2 linked regions of the Drosophila melanogaster genome follow. The protein of the gene in region 1 interacts with the protein of each later gene in a pairwise test. Each region holds a gene or a part of one and is shown in the gene's direction. Other genes may lie near its edges.

Evidence for each region.
Region 2: the proteins of Shal (region 1) and SIDL interact in a two-hybrid assay, tested with the Drosophila melanogaster proteins (one study listed by BioGRID).

Annotation. Positions count from the first base shown.
Region 1 is NT_037436.4:19,581,460-19,586,423, reverse strand, and holds the start of Shal (shaker cognate l), read left to right. Parts: upstream 1-1,855; 5' UTR 1,856-2,102; exon of another isoform or gene 2,103-2,113; intron 2,114-4,964. Other genes in the region: CG9330 (uncharacterized protein), read right to left, coding at 1-42; CG9231 (uncharacterized protein), read left to right, coding at 509-675, 740-950. UniProt on the Drosophila melanogaster protein: Mediates the voltage-dependent potassium ion permeability of excitable membranes.
Region 2 is NT_033777.3:15,213,987-15,220,652, reverse strand, and holds SIDL (shal interactor of Di-Leucine motif), read left to right. Parts: upstream 1-1,778; 5' UTR 1,779-1,875; coding exon 1,876-1,900; intron 1,901-1,953; coding exon 1,954-2,177; intron 2,178-2,234; coding exon 2,235-4,235; intron 4,236-4,294; coding exon 4,295-4,909; intron 4,910-4,971; coding exon 4,972-5,314; intron 5,315-5,562; coding exon 5,563-5,792; 3' UTR 5,793-5,891; downstream 5,892-6,666. Other genes in the region: CG12241 (uncharacterized protein), read right to left, coding at 1-523, 585-1,107, 1,177-1,242; CG4210 (uncharacterized protein), read right to left, coding at 5,906-6,227, 6,288-6,363, 6,432-6,483, 6,546-6,620. UniProt on the Drosophila melanogaster protein: May play a role in vesicular transport from endoplasmic reticulum to Golgi. Has a role in one of the several mechanisms underlying dendritic localization of Shal channels.

The DNA of each region.
Region 1 (4,964 bases):
TTTGGGAAACTCGCGCTGCAGAATGCTTGTGTACTCGCTCATCTTGACCTTGATCGCAAATTCGCTTTCTGGACGTGTGGCAGTCGGCTTTTAATTGACTTTTCCGACTTTTATTCCACCGCAAACGAAAACTAAAGGGGATAGCAGAGTGACCGTTGCTGGGTCGACTAAGCATATTTCAGAGATGGTCACACTGCTTTACTTCTAATATTTTTCCCTACTATATATTTTTAAATATCAGATTTATTTTTTCCAGCAGTTTTAGCACCATCAAAATTTCACCTGATTAACAAAGAATTTCCAGTTTAGTTTAGTTTGTTGTTCATTTTTTCAATCACTTCATTGTACAGTGTGAACGTCTCTCAGGGTGACCAAAGAAATCCCAGCTGTTTTCACAGTTATCGACCGTGTGACAGCTCTGTTATGTTAGCAACCACTGTTAATCGAATTGCATAAAATTCCAATTCTCTTTTGCAAGATTACTTGTGAAACGATTAAAAAAGGCAATATGCTAAGCAAAACGGGGTTAATTGGCGCCTTGGTGCGTAGATCCTTCGGCACCAGTCAGATGTTGCGAGAGACGATCAAGAACCACGAGCCAAACAATCTGGAGCGCCGTATGTTGGTTTGGACCGGCAAATACAAGTCGCAGTCCGAGATTCCCAATTTCGTTAGGTAAGTGCCGATTCTTAGAGAGCAAATGCAACAGGTGTCTAAGTTTTGGTGTCAAAACTTGCAGTCAGGATGTCATGGAGCGCTGCCGCAACAAAATGCGCATCCGCCTGGCCAACATAATGATCGCACTCACCGCCGTGGGATGCGCCATTATGGTGTACAGTGGCAAGCAGGCCGCCAAGAAAGGAGAATCCGTCACAAAGATGAATCTCGAGTGGCACAAACAGTTTAATGACTCTCAGCAGAGCGAAGGATCTGCTCCGGCCGCCAAATAGAAAATCACTCCGAAATCCCTCACTCGCCTAGTAATATTAGAACTGGCCAGGCTTCCATTTTCACTTCCAAAGAAGATTGGCTAAAACTGGCCTTAAAAGATTTTGCTAATAATCAGTTGGTCTGAAGATTGTTGAAAATTTTTCTTTTTAAATTTAGATTTTTATTTTTGATTTGAATGTGTGCGTTCAACTAAAAAAATTCATAATTATCCCAATTGGCCCATAAACTATGGAATGGAAAATGTTTGCAGGGCCAAATCTTTAGTGAATTTTTTGGCTTGGAAAGCACTTTGCCATAAGCATGTGTACAAGCCGTGTCCTTGATAGATATTCAGTGATATTTGTAATGTTGTATTATCAAAAATAAAACATATTTATTGCAAATCATGTTTGGGTGCGCTGGGTGAACCAAATTAATATTAAGATTTGGTCATGTTTTTATAAATAAATTATAAATTAACTATAATTAATTAAACTATACATTTTGGAGATACAATTCGGTTTCAAGTAACTTTCTTTTTCGATTATATTCGATTCAAAACAGTATAAAGGTTTGCTAAGTGTGGGTAACAGGTAAGGGGCTAATAAACTATAGATCCTGTGAAAAATGCATGGCTATCGACTGCGACTGAATTGTGATATCCTTGATATGAATCCATTGATATGTGGTATTAGCCATAAATATTTGATCATAGTTCATTCGGAAGGCAACATGAACATCTGTTTCGATTCTGCATCGTCTTCAGAGGCCAGTGGCCACCACTTGCTCGTCGAAGTGCGCCGACGCCGTGAGCATCTCGCTGCTGTCCCGGATTCTGGTTCGGATTTGGGTTCGGACTCGCATGCTCCGAGTGAAACTACCGACTGTCGGAGGCGCTGGCGCTTTTGCATTTACTTTTCACTTTCAGTTTGTCGAAAACTGTTTGTCTGAACGCCCCCAAGAAAACGCCGAGCGGAGCAAAAAGCGGGACGCAGTTTGGGCCAAGTTTTTTGTGGCCCCCGTGCGTGCAGAAAAGGCTGAAAAAGTGTCAGAAAAATTGTTTTTCCAAAAACAGACAGGGGCCAGCATCGAATTTCCCGGATCGAAAGCGTGGAAAATGTACACGCAGTAGTGCGGAAAATGTGCGGCTAACGAAAGGAGGAACGGATGAGGTGGGAAAAGTGTAAGAGGCGAGAAGTGTAAAATGCAATAAAACGAAAGGCGTGCGTATGTATGTGTAAACAGTTTTCCCCAATTTCCCAGCGAAATGCGGGCAGATGATGGACGATAGTCAACAGGAGTATAAAAAGCAATTGTTTAATCAAACATCAGCGAAAGCAGATTGCCTTCCCAGAAAATCCATAAAAAATGAGAGATTTTCCCTGTCTGTCTCTCTTGTTCATTTGTGTGTATGTGTGTGTGTGGGAGTGTGTTTCTCTGTGTACGGGTTTGTGTGGCAATATTCGTTTGCTTTTTTGATTTGTGAAAATGTGTGTATCCGCGAATGTTGCTGTTGTTGTTGTTGTTGTTTTTGTTGTTGCTGTAGCGCTCGTTCTCTCAGCAACAACAACAGCCGTAAAAAATAACAGAAAACCAGAGGGAAAATAAGTGTGGAAAATTCACATCTAGTTCAAACCGCCCATATCCTTGCCATGCGGTTAGCTCATTTTAAAACACGCTTTTTAAGTGCACCTTATGGCGTGCCTGCAGCCCAACAACAAGTTGTTTTTTCTGCATAGTTGGCCTATTTAAATCGACAATCGCCTCAGCCCCCCTCTCCACACACGCACCACCCACTCAGGGTATTAATTTGACCAGCGGGCCAGCGAAAATAGAGAAACAACATAACACGTTAAAAAAGCGTTAGGCACACAAAATATATAACGGTCGGTCCCACGAAAGTGAAGGTCGTCTGTAGGAGAGAAAGAGAGAGCGAGGCAGCCAGGAGCAAACAGGACACTGGGAAAAATCGTTGCTTTCCGATATTTCTTTAAAAATTCCTTCAAAGCATAACAATAATTCCTTTAAAATTTATTTTTACTGTTAGCCAGATTGTAGTGCTCCCATTTACATTTTACTTACATATGAACATAGTTTTTTTGTAGTATTTCTCTCATTCAAATATAATCATATAACTTATAGGGATTTTGATGTGTTTCTTAACAATAAATTTCTTATCTTATAAATAAACCCAACATTTGAAAATGTTGAAGTAGAATCCCGGAATTGGATTGCAACCTAACATTTATTTTCCCGATATTAATGAGTATAATAATGCAGATATCAAATTTATGTACTATCCTTTTGCCCAGTGCAGCTGCAGTCCATTTGTTGGCGTAAATGTGTGAAAAATCCTTGGCTTGGTTTTTGGCGCAATAACAAAGCTGCACTAATACCAGCATCACCGATGCAAGCGCACACACACACAAAGGCTTTATCTCTCTTCTATGTGTGTGTGTGTCTCTTTGATGACGCGCTTAAAGCAGCAGAGGCAGCGCAGTTGCAGCGCAGTTGCAGAGCAGCTGCCGCACATCCAGTAGTTGTTGTTTTGTTATCATTGGTTTAAAATTACACTTTTATTGCAGCTTAATGCACATGGACACCGTAATGCGGTTCTTTTATTACCTCACCTCAAATCGATGGGGTTGATCTTAATAGAAATAAGTGCTTTTACTCTTGAAGATCTTAGTAATAATTATCACGAATATCCTGTAGTATTGAAGATTTTTTGTTTCGACCGCAAATTATTTTGCTACCCCTGGTTGTATCTCTATACATATATCTCTTACACCCCAATAAGCACATATAGTACACAATCCCGTACGTGGTCACAGTTGTACGCGTATTTATACGCAGATATAAACACATTTTACGCATGAAAAGGCTTAGCGGGCCTACATAAATTACGCCATTGGCCACATCCAACCAAGCAACCACCACCCCATCGCTGTTAGCCGCACCATCCACCCAGTGCGACCCAGGATTTGGCTCTTTGGGCCACTTGCACGTCCACTGGACGCCCCGCATCATCACATCCCTTTGAACCGCTCTTGGTGTCCTGCTTGCCATGGCCATCAGGACGAAAGTTTTTCGGTGCTAGTGGTGGTGGATTCGCTACATTGCAGCTCTTCCAGCTGACGATGTTGGCCAACTGATAAGCACGACTCTATAAAGTTTTAATGTCTTTTGCAATTAATGCGAACAACGGCGGAAACTCCAAAGTTTCATCCTTGAACATCCCGAATCCCAACATTTTCTTATATTGTGTAAGCTATGAATTTGAGAAAAACTTTAACGGTTGAGAAGTATACGTATTGTATAATGATTACATAGATATCACACAAATGATGTGGGTATAATAATAAAAGGTAATAGCCAAAATAACAAGTGTAAGGATCAAATAGTTGAATATGGAATACATGTTATTTTGATTCAGTTTTTCCAAGTGCACGTGCCATTGAGTTTACCAGTTTCCAGCAACCCTTGCTTCTTCTTGTTGCTGCCCAGACTTGTTTCGGAACATGAAATTTAAATAATAAATCACCTTGAAATCGAATTGCTGTCGACGCATTCGGCCTTTTCTTGTATTGTCCTCTGGCACAACATGACGTATGGGCAATGCTTGAATTAATAATAAGCATACGCAGTGTGTTGCGGCTACATAAAAATTAATATGCGAAGGATGCTGAAAGCTGGTCAATATTTTTCTTGCCAATGCAAACAAATATTGTTGAAATTATTTTACTCCGTTTCCAAATTGAGATGATTTTAATTGTCCATGCATCAGTTGGCGAATAATTAAATGCATTTAATGCATGCCTTTGTTTGAATTTATAGCCAACATCGCGATGTTTATGATTCAATTACAAATTTATGTTTTTTAAATAATTATTGCAATCGGCTATTAAGATATGTGAAAGATTTTCTGTCCATGTGCAAATTTAATCCGAATAATTGTTTTCAAAAGCAACAAATTTGATTATGATTCGATGTTTTAATATTATTATAATAATAACATAAGCATAATTAGCTTA
Region 2 (6,666 bases), on another chromosome or scaffold:
TCCTTCACCTTGAGCATGCCCAGAGTCAACTGGAACAGCACGATGGAGCCCTCGTAAAAGAACCAGTCCCAGATACGCACAAGAATCTTCATATGCACCACGTTGGCAAAAAGCGTGAGGAACCAATGCAGCGTGATTAAAGACAGCTCGATGTCGTGCTTACGCAAGGACTCGTCCACGCTGCTCAGGTAGTTGGCAATAAGCGTGTGCATCACGCGTTGGTCGGCTTGAATTCCCAGAAGAGTTGAGCTGTAGTAGGAAGCTGGCAGCAGATCCTCTACAATGGTGGCCATCATCCAAAAGGCGTTCTCCTCCTCCATGAAGAGAAGCAGACAGGCAACGATCACTCCGGTGCCCTGACAGTAGCCAATGTCAGGAAAAAGCCACGCGATGCCCCTCAGAATGCGGCGCAATCGGGGAATGCCTGTCCCATTCGGATTGCTAAAGCAGGCATTTGTTGGCAGGATGCGCAAAAGGTCCTTCTCGATCTGCTTCGAAGTCATCAGCTGGTCATTGCTAGAAGCTATCAAATTAGGTGTATATTAATAATGTATTTATAACCTTTCTTGTCGCGTTCGATCTACCTTTAACTATATCGTGGTAGCTGGTCTCGCTCTTTTGCTTCTTGGCCAACGCTCCTGATAGACGCATCCACATCTGGGCACGCAACGTGTGCGGGATACCCTGACGGACCATATTGCGCAGCTTTTCTGTGCGTGGGAGCATTACATCCACATGCTCCCAGCTCAGCTCGGCAGCCTCCTTGTTGTGTGAGAACTCCAGGTGGGCGATCCACTGCAATCGCTGCTGCGCGTCCTCTACAAAGGGTATGCTCAGCAATTTGTTGGAGCTCTGCTCCGGACCGTCCTCCTCCTCCACCCGGAAGCCAAATTCGTCAAAACGGTACTCCGGCTGGTCGTTTGGGCCGGAAGCCAATTCCGCGCCACCGCCCAGCTTGGCTAGGATTTCCTGTGGCCACATGGAGGCGGTAAGAGCGGAGAATGGCCCACCGGGATTTGGTCGCAGGCCATCGGCCACACTTAGTTCCTCCATCATAGGCGGCAGCTCTCCCAGATCGTCTTCCGAGCCCAGGTTCTGCAGTTTGCGCTGTTGGCAGTGGAACGATAAATATTAATTACCATGATAAGCAATCTTTTCTGGTCAATTTAGACGCACCGTATGCTCTTCACGGCCCACGTAACCCTCATGGTCGCGGCCAAAAATGCTCCTGGCCATGTCCATGCTGGGGCTGGCTAATTTCCAGTCGAGACCTGGCCGCGCATTCAGTGAAAGTTTCTCTTAAGTGTCTCTTTGTGGCGTGTGAAAAACAAATATTATTTCTTCATTGTTTCGTTTTCAATTAGCTACCGAATCTGATTTCACTATCAGCTGTTCGATAGGCGACTGTGGGTGGTATCGATTTTTAGCCAAGCCATAAAAAACTGAGGTGTGGTGCAAAAGGGATATACCCCTCATATACCCCTTAACAAATTTAAGTGAAAACATTTTTTGTTAATATTTTTTAATAAAAGAAGGCTTTCTCTACCAATTAAAAACCATTTAGTTTGGTTCATCTAACCATATTTTATTCTGCATATCCTTCTACTTTTTCTCTACGCCCTTGACCAGGGCTGCTGAAAGCACACCTGTTGAGCGAATAGTTAAAGCTGCTTAATTAGATTATTAATTTCTTGTATTAGGCTAGCATTTAATGGTTCATTGCATTAGGAATTAAAATATTTTTTAAATTGGTCAACCGATTATTGATAGCAACGAACAATCGATTCCCCCGCCCTCGCCTTATCAGCTGTTTGGTTGAGATTGTTGTGTGGCTTTCGTTTGCCAAATGAAAAACATACGAAATTTACAAAAACAATGCAGATAAAGCCCATAATAACATGTGAGTTGTAAAAAATTAACACAATAAATCCCATATCAAACCTTTACTTACAGACTCTGGCTCGTGCCCGCTGTTCCGATCGCTGGAGTCCCAGATCCTGAACGCGATTCCACTGGACACTTGCGAGTGGCGACGCACTTTCCAACGCCCCACGAAACATGTTCGCTTGGAAGCCCAGGCACAGCAGTTCAATGTTGCGGCCTTGGAGAAGTACAAGCAGGGTGACTGGAGCATCTTGGAGCACCCCATACTGCACATTTTCGTCACCGAGTGCAATGTGAGTTAACTGATCCTGTAGGAATCTCTAAATCCACCTCCATTAACTATCTTTCAGGATGTGGACACCTACAAAGCCACGATCAGGGAGGCAATCGACATTTGGTTAAAAACATTAACCAGTTATGGCGTCTCGGATTGGATGATTCTGTTGGTCGAAACACTGGACATGCGGAAGACAAAGAACTTCATGCCACGCACCACTGTGCTAGATAAGATACGGTTGGATTTTGGCACGAAGAACGACGACCGCTGCATCTCAGTTCTGAACCCGGCCAAGTTTGAACAGAAATCCACCGAGTCCTTCCGCTGCCTAGTGCAGCGTATTCGCTTCCTTATGCTCACCAGCTACAATCGGAACATAGTTAAGTACGAGGAACTAATACGGAGCAAGCGCGAAAAGAGAAACATTGAAGGCTGGGATTTCCGCCAATACTTCTTTATGCAGGAAGACCTTGCGTTGATCTTTGAAAAGCTGGAATTGCCCACCGAGGCGTTGATACAGTACGATGAACTGGACGCCATGTTCTCGCAGTTCATAACTCACACTGGTCTCAACGAGAAGCAGCAGTGGTTGAACCATTTTCGCAAGCCCCTGGACGCTTTCCATGGTATATGTCTGACCCGAGCGGACAAGTTCGAAATGAGGAACAAAATCCGCGATGAAGGCGTTTCTCTGTTGGAATTCCGCAACTATCTTTTCGAACGTCAAGCCTATTTGCTGCTTACTTGCAATGACATCCCAGAAATCGCGAAGAGGCTTCTGAACTTTTTGTTTTCCACACTGCGCGAGGTGGAGCTCATAAAGCTGGAGTGTCAGGAGGGCGCTCTTTGCTGTTGGGAGTTTGTTTGTGCTCTGGAAGTCCTGCAGCTGTGCGAACAGGCTATGGAACCCAACGAGCTAACATGTTTCCAGCACTGTGCTCCCATCTGGAACTTGGCCAAGGATAAGCTCTACGAGCTCGGCAAACTGTGTGGCCTCTTGCCCGGCTGCACGCCAACTTCGGAGCAGTTGCACATAGTGGTGCAGCTATCGTCGGGAATTGGAGATGCGCCGTCCGAGCAGCATCAGTTCCTCCAGGCGACACCTCAGCTACGAGACCGGTCTCCCAATCGTAAGCCCAAGAAATCGGGGGCTGAGCAGCTTAAGGAAGCCCTGGGCTCGAATCAAGCCTTCCAGAAGCTCTACCTGGAGCTGGCAGAGTTGGCCATCAGTACGTACAAGCATGTGACACGCTTGCGATCGGCCCGTTTGGTTGGCCTGGACCTGGGAAACTTCTACTGCGCTCTAAATGAGCCACATAAAGCTGTTGGATTCTTTACGGATCTTCTCAGGGAGCTGAAGGCAGAGAACTGGCACATGCTGAGCTCGCAGACGCTGCTTGAACTAGCTAACTGCTACCGCAAGATGGGCGACTCGCTGGCCTACACCAAGACATGTAGCTCCATCTCGTGTTGCGCAGAACTAGAGACCTTAGTGCGAACATTTTATTTCGACGAGTTTCTCAAGTCACTGAAAACACTTAAGACGACGCTTTCGGCACAGCCGTCGATAGAGAATGCCAACTATTGTGTACTGGAGGATCACTTTCGCATTCTGGACATCGAGGTTGTTAACCAGAAACCTATTATACAGGATGATTATATTCTAGTGCAGCTAAAAGTAGAAAGTCTCTATCCGCGCGGGGTCGTAGCTGAAAATGTTAAGCTTTGTTACGAATTGGAAGCTTCCTCTCTGGAGCTGGCCATGGAGAATGTCAGCCTAACTGCCTCCCCGTCGACGGTAAAGGCCAAGGACACCTCATCACGATTAAAGGTCTCGCTTCAGCTAGTCTACAAACAGGACAATCGCCTGCACTCTGCCGCTGTGGCCTGCGACTTGCCAAAAAGCAAGCAACCCGTGCGACGAACAAGCAGCACCAAGCGCAAACTTTCACCAAGTGTCCAGGCGGACTTCACCAATTTTGTTCAAGCGGAAAACATTGCCCTTCAGCCGGGCGTAAACCTAATTGAGATGAAGGCAAAGGCCACTCGAGTGGGCTGCTGGCAATTCAAACAGGTGGGTGATCACGTTGCATCAGTTTTCTTGGCCTATCTTCAATCGTTTTTGTTTTTAAGCTATGTATTAGCATGTCCAGCCTGGAGTTCTTGTCGGAACAGCTGCCATTTATGCCTGCCACCTTTGAGATTAGCACCAAGCCGGCAAGTGCCACGCTGGAATTCAAGACTCTGATAGCTGGCATAGTGCAGCCGATTAGCCTAAATGTCTCCGGTGGCAGTTTCATCTTTCCGCCCGATGCAAAAATCACACTGCGTTGCTCCAAGAATCTTCGCATTCGACAGGCGCGAAATACGGATGATGAAGCAGCCTATAATGATGACCAATCATTTGAGAGTACGCTTCAAGTGCCACTAGTGCAATTCAAATCGTTCGAGGAACGTAGGATCCCACTGGAGGTTCTCACTGATATGCCGGGCCGAAAGGTGTCTAAACACCATGAGCATCACATCGCCCTCAATTGTCCATGGTCTCGAACTGAGCTCCCAATCGCCGTCGATTTTCAACCAGCCATGGAGGCCACTTGCCGGCTTCACACGTGTGGCACTCAGAAGTTCCTGCAGGTGATCATGAAGGGCATGGAAGCACATCTCCTTTTGCAGCACGCTCAAGTCAAGTGCGATGTGCCCGGTGTGCAATTGTTGGATCTTAATCCGGAATCCCAGCAGCCCATTGTAACTAAATAGCAATGTAATTTAATATCTAAAATTGCTGATCTCCTGAGCTCGTCTTCTAGGAAATCTACAAATCCCTGACTGTAACTTATCTGTACGAGATTCAAGTTGAGCCCCTCAAAACGGAGCACGAGCTGCCCGTCGTAAAAGTGCATTTTGTAATCAAATACGCATCACTGTCGCAGCCTGATGTGTGGAGAACGTATGGCTGCGCTTTTGATCTGGTGGACTACACAACGCTCTTTAAGTTGCAGGCGCAGCTGGAACCCAATGAACTGTGCCGTCTGCGCACCGTGTGCAACATGAACTTGAAGATCACCAAGGTGCATGAGAATCCCTACACGGATCTCATGTACGAGGTGCTCAACGATCAGAATCTGTGGGCCGTTTGCGGTCGCTCAGCGGGTAAGTTGGATTCTCTTTACTACTCTCTCTCTTTCTTTGCTTATGATTTAATTCTGTTTCTCTACACACGATTCACTTTTGCATTTTAAGATATGGGTAAGTTCCTTGGAATAGGACACACGTAGCACTAACTAGATTTGCCCTTGCTTTTGATTGGAAACATTTAACACTGAAAAAGAAAATTGGCTTACTTCGATGAACCAACAGTCTGTACTTGTTGACTAACTAATTTTTACTTAACCTTTTAGGTGTCGTATCCATGAAGGACGTCGACAGTCATTCCATATCGCTGGATGTAATGCCGCTGAGCACCGGCTTTCTACCAATGCCCAGCATTCGATTATCCAAGTATACTGCCGGTGGCAAAAGTAAAACCGATGGCCACTCCAAGGTGCATCCCTTTCCGCCCGGTCAAGTCTACAACTCCACGAAGAGCATGCAGATCCATGTCATCGCAAGTGTGGCGGGGGATCAATGAGAAGCCAAACGAATTAATTGCAATGTACTCATAGCACATATGGCCCATGGCCAAGTATTATTAATTATTTATCGCCCTACTATAAAGTAGTAAAAATTGAAAATCAAATCAAGTTAAGATTTTTTTGCCCTCAGATCCGCGGCCAATTTGGCCAGTTGTTGCTCCTCCACGCGGTAGTAGTGCCAGCCCTCTTTATCTGTCAAATCCACGGCACCAAGACTTTCGTAGAACTTGCGTGCAGGATTCCATTCCAGTACATTAAACTCCAGGCGAGGGCACTGAAGCTCTACAGCCCGCGATGCAACCTCCAAGAAGATTCGCTTTCCGGCGCCGCGTTTACGGTGCTCGGGGCGGACATAGATGTCCTCGACGAAGAAGTACCGTCCCTGCCACGTTGAGTATGCCTTGTAGCAAATGGAGTACCCAATCGCCTGACTAGAATAGGAGAACAAGCCCACAAGTTAATCAGGTCATGCCAAGAACTACAGCACTTACTCAGTATCGTTGTCTACAAGCACATAGACTTCACAATACTCCTGGCCACCAGTGAGTCCTGCGTCTCGTTTAAGATCTGTCATATTACAATCCATTACTTTACCATTATTTCATTACTATGGTAAGGGTTTCGCCATCTCTTACCTTCCTCTGTTAGCTGGGGACCATTGCTCATCTTCTCAAAGTCAGCCAGTTCCTGCAGATCAATTCAAAAGTATCTCAAATTGGTATTAAAATAGGAATCTTATAAAACTCAACTTGAATCATGGAGAGCACATCTTTAATATCTTCAGCTAGAGCACGCCGGAATGTAAACTCTCCGGATTTCGACATAGTGGGAAATCTTTATAACCTGTGTTTTTCTGATTATGGTCAAAAG